Linked DNA regions of Pelodiscus sinensis. The protein of the gene in region 4 binds, or shares a complex with, the protein of the main gene of each other region. Links are inferred from orthologs where the notes say so. Each region holds a gene or a part of one and is shown on either strand. Other genes may lie near its edges.

Region 1 (7,512 bases), on a different chromosome or scaffold from region 4:
TAGAGCTTGTCCACGAAGCGAACCCGCAGGTCTCGCCGCAGCCAGTGGGGGGTGCGGGAGGACGATAAGCTGCTGCCTTTGCTCTGCTTCCCAGCCTGGGGGGCGCTGAGGAGAACAGGCAGTCAGGAGCAGTGCTGGGGGGGGCACCGTGCTGCGAGAAGCGGGGGGGGGGGGGGGGGGCTGGGGGCACCGTGCTTGGCGAAGGGGCACAGTGTTTCATCAAAGGCACTTGAGTTGCACTGGCACCAGGGTGTCCGGGCCACACGCCAGCTTGGGGAATCCTCCTCTGGGCCGTGAGACAGCACCCACCTCAGAGGTGGCCGCATTCCATGTGGCTGTTCCCCACCTGCCCTGCCCCAGAGGCGGCTGCATCTCGGCACCAAGCAAGCCGTGCCCAGGCAGTGTTCTACGTGGCTGTTCCCCACCTGCCCTGCCCCAGAGGCGGCTGCATCTCGGCACCAAGCAAGCCGTGCCCAGGCAGTGTTCTATGTGGCTGTTCCCCACCTGCCCTGCCCCAGAGGCGGCTGCATCTCGGCACCAAGCAAGCCGTGCCCAGGCAGTGTTCTATGTGGCTGTTCCCCACCTGCCCTGCCCCAGAGGTGGCTGCATCTCGGCACCAAGCAAGCCGTGCCCAGGCAGCATTATCCGTGGCTGTTCCCCACCGTCCCAGGTCTCTACCTCTCCGAGGCTGCCTGTTTCCGTTTTCTGTCCTTCTTTTCCCCTGTGTCCTGGGGGACCGTGGTGGCCAGAGCCTCAGTAGGCTCATTTCTCTGCTTTTCCTCTTTTTCCTTCTGGGCTTGGCTTAAGCGGCCTGTGAAGGGGATTGGAGAGAAAAGGGGAGTGAGGAGGGGACGGGGGAGGCGGGCGGCGGGGGGGGTGTGGCTGGGAGCAGTCATGTGACTCACTCAGATCCTTGGCTAGCTTCTCGTACTCCTTCTGGGTCACGGGCCGCAGGACGTGCTGACTGATGGTGACCGTTTTATCCCCGATGGCCAGTTTCACCATCACCCGGGCGTTATCGGGGTCTACGCCCTCGATCTGGGGACAGGGAGAGAAAAGAGAACGAGGGGTGAGCCTTCTGCTTCCAGGGGGCATCGGCTCCCACCCGGCCCCAGGGCAGGGACAGGCTGGCTCGGGGGCCAAGGAATGGGGGGGCACTCACCTTCCCATAGAGGTCTCTGTGGGGCCCAGCCATGATCAGCACAGCGCCCCCTGCCACCAGCCCCAGCGGCTCCTCCTCGCCCGGCTTGGGGGGCTGAGGGCGGCCAGCCGGCTGCAGGTCCTGGATGGCCGAGCGGTCAGCTCCCAGCCCCAGCCCCTTGGGGCGCAGCTGGCACTCCAGCGGCTTCACGTCCCTAAAGGGGGGAAGGGTTATTTGGGGACCCGCCTCTGAAAGCATATCACCCCCCCAGCTGCTGAGCTAGGACTCCTTCCCCCATCACCCTCCTCCAACCTACCAGCCCCTACAGTAACCTGGTCCACAGCCTTTCCAAAATCTCCCTGCCCCGCCCCCCATCCCTCTGCCCCCCAGGTCACTCACTGCTTGAAGGTGCGTCCGATGCCCTCGCCCGCTTTCCAGCCCATGCCCCGCAGCATGGCAACGCCATAGGCCTCCACCGGCACCACCTCATAATCCGCCTCCGTCGACTGCAGGGCAAGAAGGGCAGGAGAGTCGTTAACCTGCGGAACCACCCGCCACAGGCATTGGGACACGTAGCTCGGAGCCGCAAGAGGGGGCTGGCGCTGGGGCTCCAGGGGAAGCCGTGGGCTCGTCGGAGGGCTCTTACCGATTCCGGCCGCAGGCTCACGTCCACCCGGTCCCCATCCTCGTACCCCTCGGGGACGCGGTTCTGCATGAGCAGGGGGATGGCCAGCTTGGGGTCGGCCTTGGAGCCACTCTCCCACCGCTCCTGGGACTGCCGGCTCTCTGCAAAGCACAGGCACCGTCAGGAGCCGGACGCCGGGGTCCCCGCTCAGGGGGCGGGAACTAGTGTGTGCGGGGGGGGGACTCCTGGGGTCCCTGCCTCGCTCACCCTCGATCAGCTCCCTCACGGCCTGGGACTCCACCCCATCATCGGCCGGCGGGTCTGGGGCCCCCACGGGGGGCGTCGCCGGCTTCTTCCATTGGTTGCGCTGGATCAGGGGGATGACGAGCGGCTTGGAGGGCGGGACTGGCCGGAGGCTGAGAGCCAGAGAGAAACCATCCCGTTGCCGTGGGATACCCAGAGTGCACCACTCCCATTCCCCCCCCCTCCGCTACCCTGGCTCCGCCCACTGCCCCATCCCAAGGGCCTGCCCCACAGAGGCCCCACCCACTACCCTGAGCCTCTTCCTTCTCACCCACTGGATACAGACCCTGCCTCACACCAATCACCCATGGCCCCTCCCCAGGACACGCCCCCTCCAGCCCATATAGCCCCTCCCCGGACACGCCCCCTCCAACCCATGTAGCCCCTCCCCCGGACACGCCCCCTCCAGCCCATATAGCCCCTCCCCGGACACGCCCCCTCCAACCCATGTAGCCCCTCCCCCGGACACGCCCCCTCCAGCCCATATAGCCCCTCCCCCGGACACGCCCCCTCCAGCCCTATAGTCCCTCCCCCGGACACGCCCCCTCCAGCCCTATAGTCCCTCCCCCGGACACGCCCCCTCCAGCCCTATAGTCCCTCCCCCAGACACGCCCTCTCCAGCCCACATGGCCCCTCCCCCAGGCACCTGGTCGATCTTGCTCACGTGCGCAGGCCGAGCAGCCCCGCCCCCCCGGGGGGCGCTGACTCCCGCGCATGCGCACTGCTCTCACCTGCGCAGCTCGCTCCCCTCCACGGCGCTGATGAAATCGGGCTCCGGGTCGGCCCCGCCCTCCCCCGCGAGCCGCCTGCGCGCGACCGTGCGCGTGAATCCGAACGAGACCGGCCGCGGGGCCGGGGGGCCGCCGTCCGACGCCATCTTGCCGCCGCGCGCCGCGCAAGGCTTCACGGGAGTTGTAGTCACCGCCGCGCGCAAGGCCTCGCGGGAGCTGTAGTTCCAAGCTGGCCCGCCGGGCCTCATGGGGGTTATAGACCCGCCCCCACGCGTAGCATCATGGGGGATGTAGTGCGGGGCGGGGCTGCCCCCCCCACTCCCCTCCCCCACCCTCTGCCCCCACCCCGAGATCCCCCCACCGGGGAATTTTCTGCGTCCTTAAAACCCCCAAATCGTCTGGTTGCTGCCGCAGGGGAGCAGCCCCCCAGGCCCAGCAGCTGCCGTGACGTTCGGACGGGGGGGGTCGCTCCGTGCAGCGAGCATCTCTAAACGCAGCGCACAGCCAACCTGGGGAACTCCCTGCCGCAGGAGGGGTCACAAAGAGCTGGAGACATCCGGGCAGGGTGGGTCCATGGATGGCTGCAGGCCAGGCCGGGCGGGAGGGTGCCCCTGGCCTGTTTCTCCAAGGCTGGGAACAGGGGCTGCAGGGGAGGGATCACGGGACGGTTCCCAGTTGTGAGCCCTCCCTCTGGGGCCCCTGGCGCTGGCCGCTGTCGGCCGACAGGACACTGGGCTGGAGGGACCTTTGCTCTGACCCCGTCTGGCCGGTCTCCTGTTGATATTTGGGGGGGTCCTGAATCAGCCCCCTCCTCTTGGGGGTGGGAGATTAGTGACTCCTGGCACCCTGTGACCCCATGCCAGCTCCAGTGACTTTCAAGCTTGATGCTGAACAGATGTGCTTTGGTTAAGGCCTCTAACCCCCTCCCCCGAGCTAGGGAGAGAACCCAGGAGTCCTGGTTCCCAGCCCACCCTGCTCCTTAGCCCTGTACCTTGTGTGGCCTGGGGAAGAGCCGGGTTTCTACCAGGCCTCGCTTTAGGGGCTGGCGAATGAACGCCTCCCCCATGCCCATGCACTCTCCTTAACGAAGGCTGTATCGAGAAATGACTCTGCTTATTCATTACTAGCCGCCCCGGGGCTGGATTGGAACCGGCACCCCCTGGAGGGGTCAGGCCCCGTGTTCCATATCCCAGGGGGAGATTAGCCACTGTGGTCTCCGATTGGCTGGCTCGTCTGTCCATCTTCCCCTTCTCCCCCTCCCCCAGAGTCTAGCGAAGGAGGAGGAGGTGGAGGGTTACCGGGGCATCAATCCCGTTGCCTTGGAGATCCCCGTTGCTAACCCCAGCAGCATCGGGTACCACTACGGAAGGGGGGGGCCGGAGCAGCGCTAGATGCCGGGGCCACCCCAAGGTAAGGGAGCCCCCCCCAGCCAGCAGAGACGGGGCGGGATCAGCTGTTAATTGGATTGTGCTGGCTGCCGGAGCCGGGGGATGGCGTGGGGAGGGGGGGCGTCCTGAGGGCCTAGGAGGGGAGATCAGCGCTGGCGAGGGGCGGGTGGGGAGCCTAGAGGTTGATTTTGTGATGGACAAGGGGCTGGGGGAGGAACCCGACAGCTCTGGGGGTGGCCTTGGGACAGGCTGGAAGGGGCAGCGGCACGTTCAGCTCCTCCTGGGAGGGCTCTGGCGTGTGGGAAGTAAAGCCCCCTCCCCCCACCAGCTACTCCCCCTCCCCGCTCATGTGACCTTGAGGAGCGACACAGGCACAGGGCGGGCCGGGCCTGGCCCCTCCCGATCTCACCATTCCCTGGGTGCCAGAGTCCCCCAAAAGCCCCATTTCCCAGCTGTGCCAGCCAGGCTTTCCTGCGGGGGGCGGGGGGAGGGCGGATGGTTGCGGGGGGGAGGGGGAGGCTCTCATCTTGCTCGGCCCCTCGGTCGCTTTGGGTCCAACAAACCTGGTTCTCCCTTCCCCCATCCAGGCAGTGAGATGACACCCCTACCCCATGCCTCCTGCGGCGGCCGGGGAGCGGACGGACACCTCTTCCCCGGGTGAAGCCCAGAGGGAAACTGAGGCACGCGGCAATGGAGCCAAGCGATGACGGCCACGGTCCTCTCCCTCCCGGCCCCTTTTGCTGGCCTGCTCGCCACACACCCATGGGAGAGGGGGGGAACCGACCTTTTCCCGGCCTCACGTGTTCCTCAAAATATGCCATGTTGCTTGCGGACTAGAAACAGAGGGCAGGTGCACCCCAGTTCCCCTCCTCCCCCCAGCAGCAACTGGGTAACGTCACCGGCCTCGCAGAGCCTGGGAGGCACCCCCCCCACATCACCCCACCCCTACCTGGAAGAGTCCAAGGCGGTGACATTTCTAGATTACCCCCCAGCACAATGGGTTCTAGATCACCCAGGTGCCCGTTGGGTTCTTGAGGGAGGGAGGCTTTTCTAGATACCCAGCGGCTCCTAGAACAGGGCTTTTCCCAGATCCCTAGTGGCTTCTGGAATACCAATGGCTTTTCTAGAGCCCCCCCCCTTGCAGGTTCTTGAGTGGCAGAGGCCTTTCCAAACCCTCCATGGGCTCTAGAATGGCCGAGAGCATCCCAGGTCTCCAGTGGGGCCTAGATCAAAGGAATTTGCTGAGATCCCTGGTGGGTTCTAGAGCAGCAGAGGTTTTTCTGGATCCCACCTGGGTTCTTGAACAATAGAGTTCCTTCCAGATTCCCTCTGAGACCGTTTTCCTGGCCCCTGGCCCTTCCTCTCGCTCCAGAAGCTGCAGCCGTCCCTTCATGACTCAGTTGGCCCCCCGCCTGGTTGCCCCAGGGGTTCCCCTTCTGCGGCGGGGGAGTTTGTGCATCTGTCAGCCTCTCTTCTGCCTGTTGCCCTGCCCATAGCAGTACCCCCTGCCACGGTGGGTCTGTCCCCCACATCTCCCCACCTTACTGCTCCCTCCCCGGACCCGTTCCTGCCAGGCTCCTTCTCCCTCCCCTCGGGCAAGGGGGCTACCCCCACTTCCTGCTTTCGCAGAACCTGCCCCCTGCCCCGGGTCCATCACAGCCGAGCCTCCTAATCAGCCCCCCAGTTGGCTGATGGAGTTCATCCAGCGCTCCCGGGGCCAGTGTGGGGAGGATGGCCAGTCACCAGGGGCGCTGGGGCCCAGAGCCATGTCCTAGACCCCCAGCGCGATGGAGACCAGCCCTGGCTCCCCAAGGGGTTCTAGAGAGACCTGGGCAGCGCCAGATCTCAGTCACTGCCTGCGCCCCCGGAGCGAGCTCTCCTGTAGGTTCCAGAGTGGGTGGGCGGGCGAGATCCCTTCTAGAGCCCAGCGAGTTCTGGAGCCAAGGGAGCCAGCCCTCGGGCCCACAGCTGGGCTGATCCAAGAGAGGGGGTGGGAGCCCGGGCAGAGGGAGGAGTGATTCCCCCCAGGCCGGTGTTGTGGGGCACGGCCGCCCTCCGGGCCCCAAGTGCCTCTCCGCCACCCTCGTGACTCTAGGCAGGCAGGAGAGAAGAGGCGCACGTGGGGCGGAGGGGCCGGGCAGGGGGCTTTGGTGGGCAGTCAGGCCTGGGCACTGGGGTCCCATGCTTGGGGGGCAGAGCAGGGCCGGGCAGGGCGCTGGGCAGTGCCATGCTGCAGGCCGGTTCCATGTGGCTGTTACCTTCCTGCCCCACCCCAGACATGGCTGCATCGGGGGAGGTTTGAACTCTCCTGTTCTCTCCCCTCACAGGGCTGAGGCAGGCCGCACTCAGGGGTCTCGGGATCCACTCCTCAGCAAGCAGAACCCCCCACTTGGGGTCCCAGGGGCGAGGCCCCCGGCTGCACCATGGGCGGGGCTGGGCCCCAACTCCAGCACTGGGGGGCGGAGCAAAGCGAAGCCTGTGGCATCAGGTGACTCCCCCCCCCTTGGATTGGAGGGACTGGCACTTCTGGGGGGCTGAGGAGGTGGGATGCTCAGGGATGAGCTGGGGCTAAGGGGCTGCCTTTGGTTGGGGAGGTACCGGGGAGCAATTGGGGGGATCCAGGAGGTGGGGGCTCTGGGGGAAAGGGGGAGACTATGGGGGGGAGGGGAAGTATCCTAGGAGGAGAGCCTAGGGGGGAGGGGGATATAGGGGAGAGATCCCAGGGGAAGGGGGGAACATGGGGGATCCTAGGGGGGAGAAAGCTGCCCGAGAAAGGGACCTCCCCCCAAATATGCACCCCGCCTATTCTCCGTCCCCCAGCTGCAGTGCCCACCAGAGCCCCCACAGGGCCCCTGAACCCCTGATCCCGGCAGCAGTGGCACCGGCGGCTGGAGGTAAGCGGGGGGCACTGGGGGCACCCCCCTCCCCACCCCCTGCCAACCGGAGGGCTCTGCCACCTGCCCTGGGTGCCCGGGAGGTGCTGGGGGCGCCACGCTCGGCCCTGCCGCCCCTGCCCCGGGCACTGGGGGGGCCCCCTTAACTCTGCCCTCTGTGCCCCGCAGTGAACGTGGTGGTGGTGGTGGACGGGAGCTGCATCCTGCACTACACCCACCGGGACGCCCCCTGCCGCTGCTCCTGCCGGCTTCCTGCCTCGCCCAGCCCCCCCCTCGCCCGCCGCCCCCGGGGCCTGGGGGTGCGCTGCTGTGCAGAGCTCTGCCTAGGGGAGGAGGAGGAGCGGGCGGAGCAGAGGCCCCGCCCTGCCCCACCGCCCGGCCGGCTGACGCCAGTGCCCCTGCCCCGCAGCGCCACGGGGCCCTGGTTCAC
Region 2 (7,053 bases), on a different chromosome or scaffold from region 4:
TGGGGCGGAGCCACTTGAGACGGAGGCGGAGCCAGTCAGTATTTGGAGGGTGGGGCAAATTGCTATTTTGCAGGGGTGGGAGGGCCATTTGTAAGTAGGCTGGAGCTAGTTACAGGTGGGGCCATTTTTGTATACTTGAGGCAAGCCTAGTTGTGTTGGGGGGGAACGGGGCAGTATGTGGTTCGAGGGTGGGAGCCAGAGCCAGCCAGGATTTGGGGAGGAGACTGGAGGTGGGGGACGACGAAGTGATGGAGGCAGAGGGCGGGCCAAAGGGGTGACTTCCTGTTTTAGCCATCCCACTTCCTCTTTAGGTGGAGCAATTTCACCTCCTTTCATGGGGGCGGGAGGAGGTTGTGCCATGTGACTGTGGACTTGGATGAGTGTGTGGGGACGAGCGTGAGCGTGGAGGGAATGGGGAATTCAGTGTGTGGGGAGGGCACGGAGTGAGTGGGGGCGGGCCTGGATGGATGGATGAATGAGCCCCTCCTCCGTGAGTTTAGTTCATTCTCGTTATGACTATTTTTTTTCCTTTGCACTGGGGGAAGCAGTCGCGTCCTCGCCCAGGAACGAGGGGGCGAGTGAACGAACAAATGCGGCACGCTCCTCCCCCCGCCCAGAGCAGCCCTGTGGTCACGGGGGCGAGACGTCCAGGGGCAATAACCCCCCCTCCTGTTTAACCCTCTCAGCAGGAGGCGTCTGTGCCCTGGCGGGGGGAGGGTGCCGCAGCCGGCCAGTTCCAATAGCGTTTTTTTATATGTGTTATAATAATAATAAAACGGAGAGATGTTGCACGTGAAGCCGCCTCCCTATCATCTGTGGCCCACGTGGTCTGGGAGGGGTGTGGGAGCCATCAGGACCTGGTGCCCCTATACCTTTTGGAGGTGATCTAGATCCTGCTGTGAGGGCGGGGGACTGGACTCGATAACCTCTCGAGGTCCCTTCCAGTTCTATGATTCTGTGAACGGGGGGGGGGTGCTACCGGGACCTCGCTCCCAGATGCCACAGGAGGGGAGGATGGGTGCTGTCAGGACCTAGCTCCCATGTACCCCTTGAGGGTGAGGGGTGGATGCTGCCGGGACCTGGCTCCCATGTACCCCTTGGAGATGAGGGTTTGCCCTGCCAGATCCTGTGCGCCCCCTGGGGGTTGCAGCTCTGCCCTGTAGGCACCTGAGCCCCCATTCACTCTCTCCCGCCCCCTAGTGGTGAGGCATTGACAAGGCGGGATCCCCCATTCCCGCCTCTCCCGCTCACCCCCAACACTCAGACCTCCACACTGGGGAAGACCGTGGCTCTTTCCTGCCCCCTGGTGGCGTGGGTGCTGCACTGCCTCCTAGCCCACGTTGCCCCAGCCTCCGAGCTCCGCACTACGTTGCTGCAGCCCCACCGAGGCTGAAATCCCTGCTAGTGTGTCAGAAGGAGAAAATCCCACATGTCCAGGCAACCTTCAGCTGCCTCTGCATCAATGCGCCCTTGATTTTTTTTCCAGCCCTGTGCGGAGTAAATTTTGTTCTATGCACCAAGGCATGTGCAGATGTGCACCACCAGTAGAAACACATGCTGCCGGCTGAGGGCACTCTGCTATTCTGGGCGGCATTTGACTCGCTCTTGGGTGGCCACCCAAGTGCCCAGCTTATAGGGAACGCTGCTTTGCAGCTCCCCCCCCCCCCCATAGAAGAACAGTGCTTGAGACAGGACTACAATGAGAATGAAGCTTTGCTGCATGATGCCGTTAAGCTAGAGACAATGACATTACGTGGAGGAAGTCAACTCATATGCCTGGAAATACAGATAAGAGCTGGCTCTGTAAAAACGATGATGATCCTACTTTTGAAGGCAACTCAGACTCTGGTCAATATGGCAGGAAGCCAGCGGAGGTTGTCTGCTGGGACATACGGTAATGTGCCTACTGAAAAATGTGACTCATGGGTCTAGAAGCAGAGTTGACTCATGCCTGGAAATAAGGTAAACAATCAGATGGGACGCTGATTTGTCTGTAAATATGATAAAAAACGTAGTCGGGAAGTTGACTCAAATGCTAGTAAATACAGAACCTGTGAACTGGGGAGGCAGCTGAATAGGTTTGTAACGGTGCTAAAAGAGAGAGGCCGGAAACTGACTCATACCCAGTTAACTATGGTAAAAATCTGATGGGCAGACACGCAGCTAGTTACAGAAAGGAACCAAATTAGGGCAGCAGCTCCTAAGTGTGAAAACATTGGCTTGTGCAAGGGAAGTTGGGGTTAGAGAAGGGACAGCCAGATAGCTATCATGACAGTGAGCATGAGGACAACTGCAGCTCCTATACCAATAAAAACGAGGAGCAGGACCATGGTAGCTGCTCATGTGCAGGTTATAGGGTGCACAGACTGGAGCTGTGGCTCAGACGTGAGCAGTAATGGTGAAGGGCCGAGCTGAGGGGGCAGCTTGTGCATGGGTCATTATGGTACAGGTCCCAATAGTATTTGAGGCTTGTACACTAGTAATTATGGTAGAGGATTGACTTGGAAGGGAGGACCCACACAGTGACCACTACACTGGTGCAGAGCCCGTTCTGGATGTATCCTGTCCTCTATTAATTGCAGTTCAGATCCATGTTAGAGCCCATGCATGGTTAATTATGGTACAGACCTGAATTGGTTCTGCAGCTTGTATTACAGTAATTACGGTGCAGGCCAACATTACACAAGATCGCTGATAATGGCACATTCCTAATGTGTGGATTACACCTGCACGTACAGTAAAGAACCTGACTTCTCCATGTGCTGCCTCCCCACCAAACTCCTGTGAGGATCAGCCGGACTGGGCTGTGCTTCTGCCTGCAGCTGGTAGGATGGTAACTGAACTGGATCGATTCATGGGGAATTGGTCCATCAATGGCTATTAGCCAGGATGGGCAGGGGTGGTGTCCTGAGCCTGTTTGCCAGAAGCTGGGAATGGGTGACAGAGAAGGGATCACTTGACGATTCCCTGTTCTGTTCACTCCCCCCTGGGGCACCTGGCATTAGCCACTGTCGGCAGACAGGACACTGGGCTAGATGGACCTTTGGTCTGACCCAGCCTGGCCGTTCTTATATTCTTACAGTAAAAATCCCACCCCAGCGTGGGGTGTGTGTATATCCATAATGACAGCATGAGGTGAAAACTGGAGGGGGCATGAACTCCTGTAAGTACGGTAAATGGATAGGTGTGTGGCGGGATGCCATTAGGGTAGCATGTCTGGTTGGATGGAGGGGAGGCTCATGTTATGGTCATTATGGAAGCCAGTCTGGCTGTATGATGAGCAATCCTGTAATTACGGTAAAAGGGGCCCGGCCCGAGAAGGAGAGACTCATATTGCTATCTTAAGGGATCTGTTTGGAGAAGGTGCAGAATTACAGAGTCAGCTGGAGAAGGGGAGGCTCGTAATCCTGTAATTACGGTAGGCTATGTGGCCGGAGAAGGGGCAACTAATTTTCTCACAATTACGGTAAGGTGTCCGCTGAGATGGAGAGGCTCATATTGCTATATTTATGGTAAGAAGCCCGGCTGGAGATGGAAAACTCCTACTCCCGTCATTACGGTAGAGGGGCCTGCAGAAGGGGAGGCTCATATTGTTATAATTACGGTAAGAACTCCTATTCCTGTCATTACGGTAGAGGGGCCTGCAGAAGGGGAGGCTCATATTGTTATAATTACGGTAAGAACTCCTATTCCTGTCATTACGGTAGAGGGGCCTGCAGAAGGGGAGGCTCATATTGTTATAATTACGGTAAGAACTCCTACTCCCGTCATTACGGTAGAGGCAGAAGGGGAGGCTCATATTGTTATAATTACGGTAAGAACTCCTATTCCTGTCATTACGGTAGAGGGGCCTGCAGAAGGGGAGGCTCATATTGTTATAATTACGGTAAGAACTCCTATTCCTGTCATTATGGTAGAGGGGCCTGCAGAAGGGGAGGCTCATATTGTTATAATTACGGTAAGAACGCCGGCTGGAGATGGAGAGACTCCTATTCCTGTCATTACGGTAGAGGGGCCTGCAGAAGGGGAGGCTCATATTGTTATAATTACGGTAAGAACGCCGGCTGGAGATGGAGAGACTCCTATTCCTGTCATTACGGTAAAGAGCCAGCTGGAGAGGCGCTTATTGCTTTAATTACGGTAAAAAGTCTGGCTGGAGGCGGGGCCGCTCATATTCCAGACACTACGGTAAGAAGTCGCCCGCAAAAGTGGAGGCGCGTATCCCTGTCCTTACGACCAGAGAGTTTTGCTCGCGGTGGATATTCCGTTCATTACGGTAGCGGGCGAAGGCGGGGGCGAGCGTGGGTTGTTGAAGTCTGACGCCGCTCATAGACCGGTCATTACGGTACAGGGCGTTACGCCGGCGCGCTATGACGATGGCGGAAGCCGTTGGCCCGGGCGGTCACGTGGCCCGGAAGCGGGGTACGGTGGCCCACGGGGGGGTCCGAAGCGGGGGCAGGATGGCGGCGCTGGAGCGCTGGGTGTCGGGCGAGCTGCACGCGCTGCTGGGGCTGAGCGAGCGGCACGTGGTCGCGTTCCTGCTCGGCCTGGCCCGGCGCAGCCGCAGTGCCGACGAGCTGCTGAGCCGCCTGGAGGAGACCGAGACGCTGCGCGTGAGCGAGCCGGCCGTGCGCGCCTTCGCCCGGCGCCTCTGGGAGCAGGTGGGCGGGGCCACACCGCGGGGGGCGGGGCCATTAGAACGGAGGGGCGGGGCCACAGTGGGGGAGGGGCCATTGGGCTGAGGGGGTCACACTGGAGGGGGAGGGGCTAGTGGGGGAGGGGGGTCACAGGAGGGGGAGGGGCTAGTGGGGCTGAGGGGGGGTCACACTGGAGGGGGAGGGGCTAGTGGGGCTGAGGGGGGGTCACACAGGAGGGGGAGGGGCTAGTGGGGGTCACACAGGAGGGGGAGGGGCTAGTGGGGCTGAAGGGGGGTCACACTGGAGGGGGAGGGGCTAGTGGGGCTGAGGGGGGGTCACACAGGAGGGGGAGGGGCTAGTGGGGCTGAGGGGGGGTCACACTGGAGGGGGAGGGGCTAGTGGGGCTGAGGGGGGGTCACACAGGAGGGGGAGGGGCTAGTGGGGGTCACACAGGAGGGGGAGGGGCTAGTGGGGCTGAAGGGGGGTCACACTGGAGGGGGAGGGGCTAGTGGGGCTGAGGGGGGGTCACACAGGAGGGGGAGGGGCTAGTGGGGCTGAGGGGGGGTCACACAGGAGGGGGAGGGGCTAGTGGGGGTCACACAGGAGGGGGAGGGGCTAGTGGGGCTAAGGGGGGTCACACAGGAGGGGGTGGGGCTAGTGGGGGTCACACAGGAGGGGGAGGGGCTAGTGGGGCTAAGGGGGGGTCACACAGGAGGGGGTGGGGCTAGTGGGGGGTCACACAGGAGGGGGAGGGGCTAGTGGGGCTGAGGGGGTCACACAGGAGGGGGAGGGGCTAGTGGGGGTCACACAGGAGGGGGAGGGGCTAGTGGGGGTCACACAGGAGGGGGTGGGGCTAGTGGGGGTCACACAGGAGGGGGAGGGGCTAGTGGGGCTGAGGGGGGTCACACAGGAGGGGGTGGGGGTCACACAGGAGGGGGAGGGGCTAGTGGGGCTGAGGGGGGTCACACAGGAGGGGGAGGGGCTAGTGGGGCTAAGGGGGGGTCACACAGGAGGGGGAGGGGCTAGTGGGGCTGAGGGGGGGTCACAGGAGGGGGAGGGGCTAGTGGGGCTGAGGGGGGTCACACAGGAGGGGGTGGGGCTAGTGGGGGTCACACAGGAGGGGGAGGGGCTAGTGGGGCTGAAGGGGGGTCACACAGGAGGGAGGGGTCACTGGAGGGGGAGGGGCCAGGGGGCGGGGGGGGTCACATAGGAGGGGGAGGGGCTAGTGGGGCTGGGGGGGGTCACTGGAGGGGAAGGGGCCAGTGGGGTGGGGAGGGTCACACAGGAGGGGGAGGAGCTAGTAGGGATGAGGAGGGGTCACACTGGAGGGGCTGAGTAGGGCCAGAGGGCGGAGTGTCAGGCAAGGGGCTAAGGGCCTGGGGAGAGGAGGAGACATGCTGGGGGGCAGGAGAGGGAGTGGGGCTGAAAGGGAAGGGCCTGTGAACAAAGGGAGCAGGAGCAGTAGGGATGGAGAAGGCGCCAAGGGGGGAGTCCTGTGAGGTTAGCGGGCGAGGCCTATAGGGGATGGGGCAGGGCTAGCCCTAGCAGTGTCCTGTGGAGGTTGGGGGGGGGAGGCAGGGGAGGAGGATTTAGGGAGAGGTTACCATGGCAGGAACTACATGGGAAGGAGAAAGCTTAGCAGAATGGGAGGAGCCTTTGGGGAGGGGGAGGAGCCAACTGTAGAGGCGGGACCTGTGTGCTAAGTGGGAGGAGCTAAAGGAGAAAGCAGAAGGGGGGGGGCAGGGAGCGAGCACTGTCTGTGCAGTATTTCTAACCCCACCCCTGTCTCTGCCCTGCTCTTAGGTCCCACGTTCAGCTCCGCAGGAGCGTCCGGCCCGGGTGGCCGAGCGGGAGGCCCTCGCCCTGCAGCAGAAGAACCGCTCGTACCAGCTGCTGGAGGACAGCGAGGAGGAGGAGAGAGATGCGGGGGGGGCCCCAGGCTCTAAGCACTGCCCCGAGGGGAGAAAACACAAGAAGCGGCGCAAACACCTGCGCCGGAAGCAGGAGGAGGCGTCAGAGGAGGAGAACGAGGCAGAGCGGGAGCCGTGAGTGTCGCCTCCGCTGGGGGATCTTAGAGGGTGGGGCGAGGGAGAGTCCCCTGCGCTGGGGCTCCCCGGGGCTGGCTAGTGCCCTGACTGTGGTCTCTGGCCCTTCCCCGGATGCAGGGAGCCGGCCCCGGCCCTGGAGGGAAAGGACTCGGAGGACGAATGGGACCGCAGCGAGCGGGAACGCCTGCAGGACCTGGAGGAGCGCGACGCCTTTGCCGAACGGGTCAAGCGCAAGGACAAGGAGCGGACCAGGAATATCCTGGAGCGGTCGGACAAGAAGGTCAGAGCCTGCCCTGCGACCAGCACCCATCCCCAACCCTATCCTTGCTGCTGGATCCCTCCTTGGTGCCACCCCACACCTCTTGCTT
Region 3 (7,569 bases), on a different chromosome or scaffold from region 4:
GAAGCCGTACACAGGCAGCCTGGAGAGCAGTAAGGAGTAGTTCAACTACAGGCTGAGCAAATGCAGAAAAGTGACAGAATGTGGTTTTGAACATTTGAAGGAAACGTTTCACAATTTACTGACTGACAGCAAAAGCAACATTCCCATTGATGTAGCAACTTTCTGTGTAGTCCACAATATCTGTGAAAGTAAAGGGGGGACATTTTTCCGGTGGGATGGGAGGGTTGAGGCAGATCTCATTCCCCTGGTTTCTGGCTGTTCATAATTAAAGGTTAGGTGAATACATAAAGGAGCAGTGAGAATCATAGAGGCTTTGAAAGCTAGTTTTGTGAATGACAAGACAGCAACATGAGTCATGTATGTTGCTCTTAATAAGGTACCCACTGAATTAAGTGTTGGCCTGTAAACCATCCCCCCATGTCAAATTTAGCATTACTCCTCTTGCCAAAGAGGAGTTCAGAAATCATCTTTAACAGCCTTTAAAGTCAACAGAATGGGGTTGGTGTTTAGAAAATAGACCTAACATAGCTAAAAAAAAAATTAAGGAGATATACCTCTCATATAGAACTGGAAGGGACCTTGAAAAGTCATTGAGTCCAGTCCCCTGCCTTCACAGCAGGACCACATACCCTCCCTAGGTTCGACCTAAACTCATAGTGTAGACCAAGCCTAAACTTTTTCTATCAAAGCTGCCCCGATTTACACTGAATTGCTTTAAAAATTAGTTTAAAGAACTAATATAAACCTATGTAGGCATCTGTTTAAGACCGTTTTTATAAAATTTAGCTCACACCTGTAATTTTACAAGTAATACAAGTAAATACAATATAAATAAATAATACAGGTGTCAGCTAAACAGAAACAACCAGGTTTAAAATCATTTAACAGTGCTGACACCAGTGACACCAGTTCAAGTGAATTGGTTAGAATCACATCTATGTTTGATTTAAATGTATGCAGTGCAACTTTGTATTTAGATCAGGGCATTGTACTCTGGCACAGAGTTATCTTCTGTTCTTTGCTAGATGTTCCTCCCATTACTGGCTTCACTCCACTTTTCCTTTCATAAATAATTTGTCTTGATGTACATAAGCTGTTTAGTCTTTTCATTCTCTTTCCCTGCACTCTGCCCTATTCCTCTTTCCTTCCTTATTTCATTTTCTGTTCTCCAACATATCGGCTATGTCTACATTGGCACCCTTTTCCAGAAAAGGGATGCTAATGAGACAAGTCGGAATTGCAAATGCTGCGAGGGATTTAAATATCCCCCACGACATTTGCATGAACATGGCTGCCGCTTTTTTCCGGCTCGGGGCTTTGCTGGAGAAAAGCGCCAGTCTAGACGGGATCTTTCAGAAAATAAAGCCTTTTCCGGAAGATCCCTTATTCCTCTTAAAATCAGGAATAAGGGATCTTCCGGAAAAGGCTTTATTTTCCGAAAGATCCCGTCTAGACTGGCGCTTTTCTCCGGCAAAGCCCCGAGCCGGAAAAAAGCGGCAGCCATGTTCATGCAAATGCCGCGGGGGATATTTAAATCCCCCGCGGCATTTGCAATTCCGACTTGTCTCATTAGCATCCCTTTTCCGGAAAAGGGTGCCAACGTAGACACAGCCATCCTGTATGTTTTCTCTCTCTTTTCTCTTCCCAAGGTTCTCAGTCTCATGATATATTTAAAAACTTTATTCCTACACAGACTTTTACCCACTGCAGTGATAGGTATCCCATGTAATTTCTTTTAACATTGTTTTGCAAGTCAGCAAGTCTAATGATTTACATGTCAAAAGCAGAAACGCGGGTGGTGGGAACCCACAGCGGAGACTGAAGCAGTCGACTCTGATAGAGGCAGCAAAAGGGGTGGGGGGAAAGCAACTAGTCAAGTTGACTATCCGATAAACATTTGCTTATTGGATACTCGACTAGTCACTTACATCCCTACCCTGCACTCTAGTCCCCTTCCCTGGGTCACTACTGCCTTCTTCACCCAAACTCCCTCCCAGACTCCATTCTCCCTCATGCACCCCAATCCTTTACCCCAAGCTCCCTTCTGCACCCAACCTCCATCTTAGACCCCACATCTCCTCCATCAAGAACATGGAAGAGTGCAGCCCTCGACCACTTTCCAAAATTTTGGAGTGGTACCCCATCAAAAATTATTGCCCACCCCTGGAATAGGGGATATAAAAAAATATTATTATAAGCAGGTCTCGACAAATAATGTAATCTACTCGCCTATGGCGAGTAGATTACAACTCGGAAGAGCCGGCGCAGAGCGATCTGCGCATGCGCAGAACGGCATGGCTGGCGAGTGGGGCTTGCCACCACTTGGCAAGCCCTGATTATAAGGAAATACAAAAATAATGAGTGAAAGTCTTATTTGGGGATATTTAGGCCCTTCCTAGAGTGCAAAAAAAAAAATTCCTGCTTTAAAACACATTGTTTTTTATTACAGAAAGAGTTAAACAAATACCATAATGTGTATTTACATCTGTAATTTCAAGGGAGAGTGGTCCCTTCATATTTCAATCAACAATACAAAGCCTGCTGTGAATACCACACAAAGCAATAACAAATGGGATGCACTTAGGGATCAGTCATTTTATGCTTAAAATTAAGCTCTTCAATCACTCTTAAGGATGATTTATCAGACAAAAGCTGTAGCTAAAGTCTTATTTGGTAGTGTGCAACACTATCATGGCAGAAACAACAGATTACAAAAATCACTTTAGATAAGATATAAAATGTTACATCAGAGAGATCCAGATTTCTAGACACTTCTCACCTTAAGTGACAATAAACTCAGGTATATTGTCACCAGTCAATTATTTTAGCACTTATAGCACCATTCATCCATGGATCTCAAAATGCTTCATACAAGCGGGCAAGCACTGTTACCCCACTTTACAGCTAGGAAAGCTGAGGCACAGAGGGTGTTTCTTGATTAGGCAGCGTGGTCAAGTTCAGATCACGCTTGGTTAATACAAGTTAGCAAAACCTGACCTTCTTTCCCCTAGAATAGATGCAGGATACCATCTTCTAGGCCGCAATTTGATTAGCTAAATATGTCTAAACTAGGAAAAGGGTCTAATTTAAGTTAGGCTCGGCTAACATATTAGCTAAGTTCAATCTAAACTCAACTGCTTTTCCCAGTGAAGACAACCCCAGAGAAGCTGAATGACAGTGACTCGTCCAACATCACACAATGCAATTCACTGGCAGAGCTAGGACTTGAACTTATCCCAGACTGCCAGAGCCCTGATCTGACTAGTAGATCACAATACCAACACGGGGATTTCTGAAGCCATCACTCATGCATATCAAGCAAGTTGGGGGAGGAAACTCCAGCCAATATCCCTGCCAAGCCGATGGAAGCTTCACTCAGTCTGTGCGCACTGTGTGCCATGTGCAAGAGTTGTATATATTCTTCACTTCCCAACACAGCTCCCCATCCCTACTGAAGGGGTGAGCTGGGCTCCCTGGAGCCCTCTCAGCCTAGGAGGAAGCTTTCCTCTCTGCCAGCTCAGCCAGCTGCTTCTGGCGCCTCTGCAACACCTCTTGACGCATCTTCTCATGGTGCTCGTGCTCCCTGGCACGGAGCTCCTCCACCTCAGGGAAGAAGCGGTGCCTGAGACAGAGAAAGACAGTAACTGCAGTGCACTGAGCCCCCCTGAAACTTCCCAGTTCCTCTTACTCACCTGAGTCCCCCACCAAAGCCCTGCCAGCCATGTCCCCCAATGTTCCCCCAAGACCTTCTGGCCAGGTTCCCACAAGATCTTCCAACCAAGGGCCCCCAGAACCTCCCCCACCCAGATGAGCCCCCCCAAGGTCTGCCGGCCAAGGCCGCCAGGGTCCCCCCCCCAGATGAGCCCCCCAAGCTCTGCCGGCCAAGGCCCCCAGTGTCCCCCCACTCAGATGAGCCCCCCCAGCCAAAGTCCCCAGGGTCCCCCCCCAGATGAGCCCCCCCCAAGCTCTGCCGGCCAAGACCCCTAGTGTCCCCCCCCAGATGAGCCCCCCCAAGCTCTGCCGGCCAAGACCCCTAGTGTGTCCCCCCAGATGAGCCCCCCCAAGCTCTGCCAGCCAAGACCCCTAGTGTCCCCCCCAGATGAACCCCCCCAAGCTCTGCCGGCCAAGACCCCTAGTGTCCCCCCCCAGATGAGCCCCCCCAAGCTCTGCCGGCCAAGACCCCTAGTGTCCCCCCCAGATGAACCCCCCCAAGCTCTGCCGGCCAAGACCCCTAGTGTCCCCCCCCCAGATGAGCCCCCCAAGCTCTGCCGGCCAAGACCCCTAGTGTCCCCCCCCCAGATGAGCCCCCCAAGCTCTGCCGGCCAAGGCCTCCAGGGTCCCCCCCCAGCTGAGCCCTACCACCCAAAGCCCCCCCCACCTGTGCACGAAGGCGGCGGCCAGCGCACACAGGATGCTGCCGAAGAGGAGGGGCTTCGCCAGCCGCTTCCGCGCCGACATACGACCCATAGCGGGACACAAACAGGACCCCCCCCCCCGCCACCCTCCTCATACGTCACGTCCGGCCGCTCTCACCATTTCCGCTCTTCTTTCGAGTGGCCCCCCGACGTTCCGCCCCTCTCTCCCCGCGTGCGCAGGCGCGGGGAGGGGCTGGCGAGGCGCTGCGCGCGAGGCCAGAGGGAGGCTGGAGCGGCCCGGGACGGGACAGCGCTGGAGACGGTGCGAGCTTGGCGCTGGGTTGCAGAGCAGGGTCGCCCTGCAGCCCCGGGCGCGCGGTGCAGGGTGGCTACAGCTTGTGCTTTTCAGTGGGAGAGCTCGTGGTTTTGGTGCAGTTGTGGAATGGCTGGGTTTGGCAATAGTGCGCCGCGGCCCCTTGCAAGCCGCCCATTCACCAAAGGTGGCAATGATGGAAGCTACAGTGTAAAGTGAGCATTGGGGGTGCGTCTAGACTGACAAGCTTTTGCTGCAAAATCTTGCCAGCTGTCTACACTGGCCCCTTGAATTTGCACAAGAGCACGGACTTTGTAATGGATAAAATCAGTGCTTCTTGCACAAATTCTTCCACGCTCCTGCTCGGGAAAAAGCCCTCTTGTATAAGAATACTTGCGCAAGAGGAACAGTGTAGACAGGGAAGAACTGTTTTGCGCAAAAAAGCCCCGATGGCTAAAATGGCGATCGGGGCTTTCTTGCGCAAAATCACATCTTGAGTGGCCATGGATGCTTTTGCGCAAAAGCATCCTTGCCAAACTAGACGTGCTTTTGCGGAAATACTTTTAACGGAAAAGTTTTTCCGTTAAAAGTATTTCCGCAAAATCATGCCAGTCTAGACGTAGCCTGGGGGATTACCAGCGTAAAAGGGTTAAAAGACTACAGTAAAAACTCATGGCTAGCCTATGCTACAGGCTGTCCTAAGTCCAAGATACATTCCAAAAAACTAAACTTATAGCGAAACAACTTAAGCAATTCCTGGTGACTGACTTCCATTTGCACAAATTGGTTGTTGTTTTTTTGGGGAGGGGGAGGGTGCGTGACTTAAGAGCGGGGAATGGGAGGACTCTTAATGCATCAGTTCCTACAAGAGTCAATGACTTTAGTGTGGAACAGATATATGCTGGGGCGACTTATAGTGGAGACTGATGTAATGGAGCTGCAACAATGCTTGATGAAACATGGGACAATTGCCAATGATTCTCAGTGCAAATAAGATAAACCCAGTTGTAGTGAGCATGTTTCTGATTCAAACCTTGACAGGGCTGGTTATACTACCACTTTCAGTCCCCTCAGTGAATGTGAAGGGAGAGAAAAGAAAACCAATTGCCTAGTCTATACTTCTCAGAATGTTTTTATTAACCTTGCAGTGAAACTGAGGTCATACAGGACACTATTTTGAACAAAACTTAATTTTCCTCTCTTTAGCACCATGTCTCAAAAGCAGCAGGATCCACTGGACCTGGGGCGGCTTGAATACTTGCAAGCACTGGTCACAGAGTTCCAAGTAACAGAGTCTCCAGGTGAACTTATAAGCCTTTTTTTATTATTATTAAAGTATATTCCAAATGTCAGGATCATAGCTGGCTCATCAGTTATTGGGGGGGGGGGGGGAGAGAGGTTTTCTTCAGAAATGGGACAGCCCAGCCCACCTCAGCTGCCTCATTCTTCACCTAAATGCATATATATTGCAGAAGCCAAGGAGCAAGTACTGGCTAATCTAGCCAACTTCGCCTATGATCCCAAGAACTACGAATATCTCCGACAGCTTCAAGTCCTTGACCTGTTTCTCGATATGCTCACAGAGGACAATGAGACCCTCGTGGAGTTTGCAGTTGGTAAGGAGTAGCCTTAAAACTTTGTAAAATGAACAACAGTAGTTGAAAGCACTAGTTGGATTTTGATGGATCAGGGGATGTCAGCCTTGCTGCTTTGATTCTGTAGTCCAACTGAGCCAGTTGTAACTAGCTAATTGGGCGCCTAAGGCAAGACCGTCCTCAGCGAGGGCGGGGGTACTGATATGGCGCAAGGCATGAGCGAAGACCGCGTAGTAGCTGTCTTTTCTGTGCCGCCTCAGCCATGCACCCGAGGCAAGTGCCTCACTCACCTCGCCCTTGTTATGGCCCTGAATTGAACTTGGGGGAGAGGCTCAACTCCATGACAAACCATCTATGGCAGATGTTGCTCAAACTGCTTAATGCCCTCAGATACTACAGCGATGATAGGAGTATAAAAATCTATACAGAACAGCTGAAACAGGTGTGAGATCAGGATAGGAAAGCTTCCTAATTGTTAGGGTGGTTAAGCACTGGAATAAATTGCCTAGGGAGGGATCTCCCTCATTAGAGAGATTTAAGAGCAGTTGTGACAGACGTCTCTCAGGGATGATCTAGATCAGTATTTTCCCAATGGTGTTCCGCGGAACCCCGGGGTTCTGCAAAGTGAAAATAAGGGTTCCATGAGAAAATTCCATTACAATTATATTTTATGATTTAAAAAAAATTTAAGCATTTATGAATTTTATTGAAAACAATTTTCATTTGTGTTTGCCACGATAAGTGTCCTTGTGTAATGTCATTACGCTGTGCACACAGTCAGACAGTGGTGTGATCGCCTGTTATATACCACCGTAAATACCCATACTCACTCATTCTCAATGTGTTTTGTTTTTAAATATGTGCAATTAAACTAAATGTTGATCTCATGAACTTGTTTAGCATTTTTTTATTATCCTAACTTATTTGTGGTCTACTTTTTCAGCTCCATATATAAAAGATTGTTATTAGGGGTTCTGTAAAATTCTTTCGAGTTTAAAAGGGTACCATGGCCAAATAAAACTGGGAAACATTGATCTAGATGGTGCTTGCTCCTGCTAGGAAGACAGAGGGACTGGACTTGACCTCTCAAGGTCCCTTCCAGTTCTAGTATTCAATAGGACTTGAGGTGAATTATTTCATATTAAGGCAACATTCCCCTTCACTCTACTAACATGCTGCAGTGCTGAAAATTAAACTGTGTAAGATTAGATAAATCTCTAAATAGTGAAACACAAAGTGTAGCTTAATGAGAGTTTTTAACCCACGTCCTTATTGTAATGAGACAACTATTGAGAACAACTAAGAT
Region 4 (6,862 bases):
TCTGAGAGTGAGAGTGGTTGTATTATTCCAGCATACACTTGACAAACTGCAGTAATGACATATATGTATGGCCTCCTAGAACTGGGGACAAATCTACTTTAAAGGAGAGGAACAAAAGGATAGCAAGGCAGGCATCCTTTTTGTGCCTACCATGCAAATGTTCATCTTGATCTGAACATCCATGTTATCCATTGCACGGTTGTCCGGGAGAGGATGTAGGGTGAAGTGAGTGGAATTTAACAGTGACCATATTTTCTGAATCAAAAATAGGGACACCTTGGCCACACCCCCTGAAACCATTAGCGGGGCCCCTGACCCCTTAGGCCCTACCTACCTGCCACAGGAAATCCCACCCCTGGGATAGTATTTCCAGGGTCAAGATGAATATATCACTGGAAGTAAAGGGTGTCATGTGACCCCTCTAAAGCACTCCTCCCACCATTCTCTACCTAGAGGGATCTATTTGGGCCCCATAGAAGTCTCCCATGCAACTATACTGCAATTGCATAGACCTAGGGTCCCATGATAGTGCAGTGCTAGGGGTCTAACCTCGATTCAAGATGAGATCCAATAAGACCTATTACTTTGCAGTGTAGATGCAGCCCCATTTGACTCAGAACCTGGGAATCATCCAGAACTATCCCACAATTTCATGGGACAATTTCCATAGTCCTCTTAATGGATGTTTCCTACTGGCTCCAATTAACTGGTAATCAGAGGGGGCTGGAGCTAGGAAGGGGGCTGCTCCAGGCTCATAGAGGGCCTGCTGCAGATAGGGGTTACGCTCATCCAAATCAGCCATTGTCTCTGGAGAACTCGGGGGCCCCAAAGGCATGGACTGCACCTCTCTCCATGGGGAGTCCAGCTTGCTATAGACAAGGGCTGCTCCAGAAGGGGCTGGGAACCAGCGGCAGCCCCACTGTGACCTAACATTAACCGGTTAACTGATGAATGGGAATTTACATCCCTAATGAAATGGACTGCAACCGCATTTTTTGAAGTAACTGCAAAATTATGAAGTGTCCTCCATTTCCACAAGCCAGAATGACAATACCGAACCATGACAATTACAGGGTGGGGAAGACTATGTCATGAATCCTCATTACCTCTGCTTGAAAGGTACATTGCCCATTATATCAATGGGGCTAGGCTATTTTATATGTAAAGCTACTGAGAAATGTCTATGCCAATACCATGATGGCAATGCCTATATTACGTAAATAATAGCTAATAATAATTGCCAAATGAGACCACTTCCCAACCTGCTTACAAAGCGCCTGATCCAATTTAATTTTAAGCTAGGATTGGGCCCAAAGCAATCTGTTGATATTACCTAAGAAGATCTGGGTAATATTTAGTCATCCTTCAAAAATATAAGGGACCAATCAGTCAAAGCCCCACTGCCTGGTAGAGGCAAACTGAAGAAATTTGGAGAAACTTTGAATTTACTTCAGACAGCAGCACTTTCTCTCACTAGACATGGGGTCTTTAGCACAGGTTTCACTTTGTGTCAGAATAACTAAGAAATGCGTTCTCAGCTAGCTCCATTGAAGTCTAGGCAATGTGTAGCCCAAAGACAGAACAAATTCCTTTGAAGCTGGAAGTCAAAACATCTCACCTCTTCACAGAGCTCACAAAGGGCTTGTTCACCATGACACAACCTCTCTGGAGAGAGATCATAGAATACTAGGACTGGAAGGGACCTCGAGAGGTCATCGAGTCCAGTCCCCTGCCCTCATGGCAGGACCACGTACTATCTAGACCATCCCTGTTAGACATTTATCTAGCCTACTCTTAAATATCTGCAGAGATGGAGATTCCACAACCTCCCTAGGAAATTTATCCCAGTGTTTCACCACCCTGACAGTTAGGAACTTTTTCCTAACGTCCAACTTGTCCCTCTATGGAGGCACCAAGTATTTTCACCTGGCATATTAACACATGGTTTAAATCATTAACTGCTTGGATGAGGAAAACTCACAAAAAGTCTGTCCATCATCCACACCTGAGTGACTGATTTCACCACTGTGGTAACAGACCCAATCTCTCTGGGGGCTCTTCTGGAGCAACAGGGAGACTGGGGATGTCTCTCGGGAGAGAGGCCAGGGGTACCTCTATTTCAGTCATTTTCAACCTTGTTGAGCCAGGGGGTCCAATGGCCAATGTAAACCTTTCCATAGACCACCAGTTGCTAATGGAATCTCACTGTTAACTACAGGCAGTCCCTGGGTTACGTACAAGATAGGGACTGTAGGTTTGTTCTTAAGTTGAATTTGTATGTAAGTCGGAACTGGTACATATTGTAGGGGAAACTCTAACCAAACATTTCCCCAGAGCTCAGTTTTATTCTCCCACACCTCACTCTCCTCAGTCCTTTATTCTCAAGCTGAAGTGCTATCAGACCATTTGTTGTTTTTTAAGTTTAGATTATTTATGGCCGGCATGGGGAACATTTTTTGGGTGAGGGGCCATTGAGCCACAGAAAAGTCAGTTGGGGACCACAGACATGAGAAGCAAAAGAACTTCAAAAACCCCGAACCCTCACCAACGTGACCCCCAACTGAGACACCACATTCCTCCAGCGTTCCAGCCCCAACTTTTCTGGAAGATTTTATGGAGCCCCCTTAGTTTCTGGGTTGGGAACAAAAATCAGGGGTTCAGTATGTGAGACAGGGCCACCAGAGAATGGGATAGCGATGGGGTGCAGGATCTGGGAGAGAGGTGGGGGGAAGAAGAGGGAGAGGTTGCAAGGTGTGGGTGGCAGGTAGGGTGCCGCAACAGGCTGGGAGTAGAGTATCTGGCTAGGGGGAGAGGACAGTGTGTGGTGAAGGAGGAGGGTGCAGGAGGAACGGTGGACGCAGGAGTGGATTTGGGCCTATCAGGGTTTTTTTCTGAAAAAGCTATGCAAATTGCACGCCACAATTTGAGTAGCTTTTTCCAATTGTTTTTCCACCATTTGGCCCCGTCTAGCCAAGCCCAGCCATGAGGTGGGGTGCTGCTCTCTGCCCCTCCCCTTCCACCGGGCCATGGGGGGTGCTCTTCTTCACACACCCCCAGCAGAGATGCTCTTCACCGCACTGCTTCCCCCCTTTCCTCCCCTTGTCTGTCCCAGCTGGCAGCCCAGCCACTTACTCGGCTTCCCAGGCTCCTACGGGCACAACCTCCTGCTTCTTCTATTGGCTGGATCCTCATTCACAGGGAAGTCCCAGAAGCATCCCTGACTCCTCCTTAGGGAGGGCTAGGAGGGAGGAAAAGAAGCAGAGAGGGACTTTTTTCCGGGACAAATCTGGGGGGTGTCGGGACACCTGGAAAAAACATTAAAACTTGGGACAGTCCCGGATTTTGGGGGCCATAGGGTCACTATGCTGAGCGTTGCAAATCTGCAGATCTCTGCGACTAATTTTTGGCCGATGGGTGCGGGGGACAGTCTTTGTATCTAGAACCCTGCAAATGCGCAGATCCCGGGGGGTATCCGCACCCCGGATCGAAGGCAGCGGGGCCTGGTGTCTGCGGTACCAATGCTGCAGCGGGGCTCTAGGTGCAGGCCCTGCAAGCATCCTCCAGTGTCTTAGTCTAGTCCAAGGCCGGTGTGTGTCTATTGCAGAACATTTACTCTCAGGGTGGGGGGGGGGGGCATGGCATGAGTTATTCCTGCAACCAGCCGCCTTCAGCACGTGGCTTCTCTGTCTGGCACCCCTGCCTGGCCTGCTCTGCGCAGCCGCAGCTCCAGGCTGGGGGCCTCGCCCGCAGTGGGACAAGAGACAGAGAGAGGCGGGAGCAGTAGAGGCGGGACGGCAGTCCTCCCAGCGTGCCAGAGCGGCCGGGGAAGCTTCCCGGCGTTCCGCGGGGGCAGCCGCGCTTCCGGTCTGGAGCGGAAGCCGGGCAGCTGCTGCGGCGGGCGCGTGGGGGCCGCGGCGGGTAACGGTTTCTCCTCGTCTCTCTCTCTCTCCTGCCGGGTGGCTGAGGCGCGCTCGCGGCCATGGCGTATCGCGGGCAGGGCCAGAAGGTGCAGAAGGTGATGGTGCAGCCCATCGTATCCTGCCGCGGGGGCGGGGCCGGGCTGGCGGAGTCGGGGGGGGCCGGGAGCCTGAGGGGGGGGGGTTGAGCGGGCTGGTGCGGGGGGGGGGGGCGAGATGAGTGGGGGGGGCTTCCGGGGGAGAATGAGGGGTCTGAGGAGCCCGGTGGGGGGGGGGGTTGAGCGGGCTGGCCCGGGGGGGGGGGGCGAGACGAGGGGGGAGAATGAGGCGATGAGCAGGGTGCTCGCAGCGGGGCTGGGCGCTGGAGCCGGGGGGGGGGGGGCTGGGCGCTGGAGCCGGGGGGGGGGCTGCCATGCAGCTCCCAGCCCCTCACCCAGTATCACGTGCTGGGAATCGAGGTCTCCTCTCAGCACGCGCCGGGGATAGGCCCTGGGTGTGCGGCGGGGGGGGGGGGGGGCACTTCCCGGGTCTCAGAGCCCATCCCCGGCGCTGTTGGGTTTAACTCCCGGCTGGAAGGCGCCTGTAGGTTTCGCTGGCTGCTGGCGAGCTGCAGGGATTTATCCCTAGAGGTCGTTCTGTCACCTCTGGCCTTAGGGAGCACTGGGAAGGGTAGAACAGGATAGAAGGGGGACAGGTGGGTTAAATGCCAACTCGGCATCGCCCCCCCGCCTCCAGAAATTGTTAATTTTTATTTGCCTAAAAGTAAAGCACTTTTAAAATGGAAGCTTTGGCGATAACCAGATTAGTTGTTACAGTGACCCATGTTGCAGTCGGTGCTGCTTCTGTGCTTTTCCTTAAGTGCTGTATTACAGAACCTCATCTTCAGATACCTGCAGAACGTAAGTCATACTGTCTAATTCTCATTGCATGCCTGTTCATTGTCTGATTGTAAATATGACCCAAAGCATGTATTTAGCCACTATGGTGCCACTGAGGTTTGTATCTGATGCATCATCTTTTTGGGATGGGGGAAGTGCATCAGATTTCCAAGCAGATTTGTAGCATTTGCTGTTGACCTCTTTTGAGATTAGTGGCCTCTCCACATGACATTAACCCAGTAGTGCTGATGTGTGGAGAAATTGCAGTCAGGAAAAAATGTAAATTAAACTTGCTTTTTCCAACACTGTGAGGTTTCTGTAATATTTAGCTTTTATTTGGAAGCGATAGCGTATAGCATTTTTTATGCTGTTTGGTTTATATTTGTCTACTGTAGGCTTCTTTATACAAGCATTGCTCTCTGATTCATGAAGTGATCATTTTCTTCCATTTCTAGCTAACAATTATACTGATAATATTTAACATATTAGCCCTTAAGTGTTTCTGTGACAGTCATTGCCGTAGTTTCTTAAGATAGATATTTTTTCCAGAGACTGTTGAAGCAACTGTGTGTAATTTGGTGACGTTGTAACCCAGCTAAATAGAAGATGAAGATTATTGGCACATGGCATAATAGTGTGTGTGTGTTTGTGGTGGGGAACAAACACTGAATGATTATAATGAATGAATGTGTTAACTGTTAAAGCCATAAATCCTGCTGTATTGTGTTGAAAGTTGGCCATGTCATACCTATCTGGAAAAATAAGTTCCTACACACCAGTGTGCTATACCACCATAAGGGCTGGGGAGATGTTTTCCACTATCAAGTAAAAAAATAGAAATATTCTTTTCTGCGCTGAGTTAAATGATTTGTATTAGAATCTGATCAGGATGCAAGGGTTTTGCATCTTTTGAGGTTTTTTACATCTGCATGAAGTAAACAACTTTTGACTTGTATCTAGTTTGCAACTTGAGCAATTCCCAGAGCCCCCTTAAACTGCTGAAGATTTAGTTTGTCATTATCACTGGTTGTATTTTTTGGTGTTATGCTGCTTTGTGGATGGAGCAAAGAGCTTTTGCTTACTAGGCTGTCAGTGCTCTCATTAAGGTGAAATAGCAGATTCCATGATTTGGACCTTGTACCCAAATCTATCAGAAGAAAATGCATTTCTCTCTAGATTGACCTATTTTCTGATAAGCCTTGGGTAGAAAAATTACTGTAGTGTCCTAACGTATGTCAGGTCAGTATTAATTTGGTCCCTAAAAGCTACCTTGTGATAGCCCACTGAGTTACATGTTAACTTCTGATGTAGGTTTAGAGCCGTGGTCCCCAACAGGGTGCCCGCGGACGTCATGGCGCCCACGGTGGCATTTACGTGTGCCTGCGCCAGCGTTTTAAAACTGCTCACATTCACCCCTGCTTTTAGAGCAGGATCGGCAGCCTGAGACCCACGAGGGAGCCCGACATGGCGCTTTGGAGGCTTGAGCCCTGCACCCACTGCAACAGGCAGCCCGCGTAGGCGCTTCAGTATCCAGAGCAAGCCCCACGCTCGTCGGGTTCTTCCCCCCGCCCCATGCAAAACAGTCGTAGCGGGGCCCTTTGTGGAGCAGGAGCTGTGAGCCGGCAGGGGAGGGTCCCTCATGGCTGCTTCCCCCCCCCCCCCCCCCGCACAAGCCCATTGTCCGGATATGGACAATGGCAGCTGCGGGAACCTACCAATCCCCAAGCACATGGCCAGGAAGGTCCTGTGGGAGAAACAGGAGAGCAGCGTGTCTCGCTGGTAAGTGTCCGGTCCCCCAGCTACTCCCACTCTGATATCTTCACCCAGACTCTCCTCCCAGACCCTGCACCCCAATCCCCTGCCCTGAGGCACAATCCAAACTCCTGGCTTTGCCCCGCCCCCCCCCCCCCCCCCCCCCCCCCCCCCCCAGTAAAATGTCTGGTATTTTCAGTTTCTCAGCTGGAAAGCCACTTGGGACATTCTTCCCCTGCCATGTGGAAGGGAGTGTGAAATTTAAAGGTGCCATGGTTTTTTTGGGGGGGAGGGGGGGCGCTTTTTTTTGCTCAA

Evidence for each region.
Region 1: SNRPE (region 4) and GPKOW share a complex: the UniProt entries of both Homo sapiens proteins name them as parts of the minor spliceosome. The link is inferred for Pelodiscus sinensis from reciprocal best matches to the Homo sapiens genes SNRPE and GPKOW.
Region 2: SNRPE (region 4) and DHX16 share a complex: the UniProt entries of both Homo sapiens proteins name them as parts of the minor spliceosome. The link is inferred for Pelodiscus sinensis from reciprocal best matches to the Homo sapiens genes SNRPE and DHX16.
Region 3: SNRPE (region 4) and ARMC7 share a complex: the UniProt entries of both Homo sapiens proteins name them as parts of the minor spliceosome. The link is inferred for Pelodiscus sinensis from reciprocal best matches to the Homo sapiens genes SNRPE and ARMC7.

What each region holds. Positions count from the first base shown.
Region 1 is NW_027465877.1:101,395-108,906, reverse strand, and holds the start of GPKOW (G-patch domain and KOW motifs-containing protein), read right to left. Parts: upstream 3,020-7,512; 5' UTR 2,947-3,019; coding exon 2,801-2,946; intron 2,183-2,800; coding exon 2,034-2,182; intron 1,928-2,033; coding exon 1,788-1,927; intron 1,648-1,787; coding exon 1,541-1,647; intron 1,356-1,540; coding exon 1,163-1,355; intron 1,039-1,162; coding exon 906-1,038; intron 812-905; coding exon 679-811; intron 106-678; coding exon 1-105. Other genes in the region: membrane-associated guanylate kinase, WW and PDZ domain-containing protein 1-like, read left to right, coding at 6,612-6,676, 7,009-7,082, 7,251-7,512. UniProt on the Homo sapiens protein: RNA-binding protein involved in pre-mRNA splicing. As a component of the minor spliceosome, involved in the splicing of U12-type introns in pre-mRNAs.
Region 2 is NC_134742.1:11,515,129-11,522,181, reverse strand, and holds the start of DHX16 (pre-mRNA-splicing factor ATP-dependent RNA helicase DHX16), read left to right. Parts: upstream 1-4,035; 5' UTR 4,036-4,370; coding exon 4,371-4,661; intron 4,662-6,008; exon of another isoform or gene 6,009-6,104; coding exon of another isoform or gene 6,105-6,137; intron 6,138-6,440; coding exon 6,441-6,682; intron 6,683-6,802; coding exon 6,803-6,965; intron 6,966-7,053. UniProt on the Homo sapiens protein: Required for pre-mRNA splicing as a component of the spliceosome. Contributes to pre-mRNA splicing after spliceosome formation and prior to the first transesterification reaction.
Region 3 is NC_134730.1:12,490,079-12,497,647, reverse strand, and holds the start of ARMC7 (armadillo repeat-containing protein 7), read left to right. Parts: upstream 1-4,549; 5' UTR 4,550-4,677; intron 4,678-5,874; 5' UTR 5,875-5,878; coding exon 5,879-5,969; intron 5,970-6,140; coding exon 6,141-6,284; intron 6,285-7,569. UniProt on the Homo sapiens protein: As a component of the minor spliceosome, involved in the splicing of U12-type introns in pre-mRNAs.
Region 4 is NC_134737.1:8,527,973-8,534,834, reverse strand, and holds the start of SNRPE (small nuclear ribonucleoprotein E), read left to right. Parts: upstream 1-3,850; 5' UTR 3,851-3,979; coding exon 3,980-4,033; intron 4,034-4,789; coding exon 4,790-4,816; intron 4,817-6,862. UniProt on the Homo sapiens protein: Plays a role in pre-mRNA splicing as a core component of the spliceosomal U1, U2, U4 and U5 small nuclear ribonucleoproteins (snRNPs), the building blocks of the spliceosome.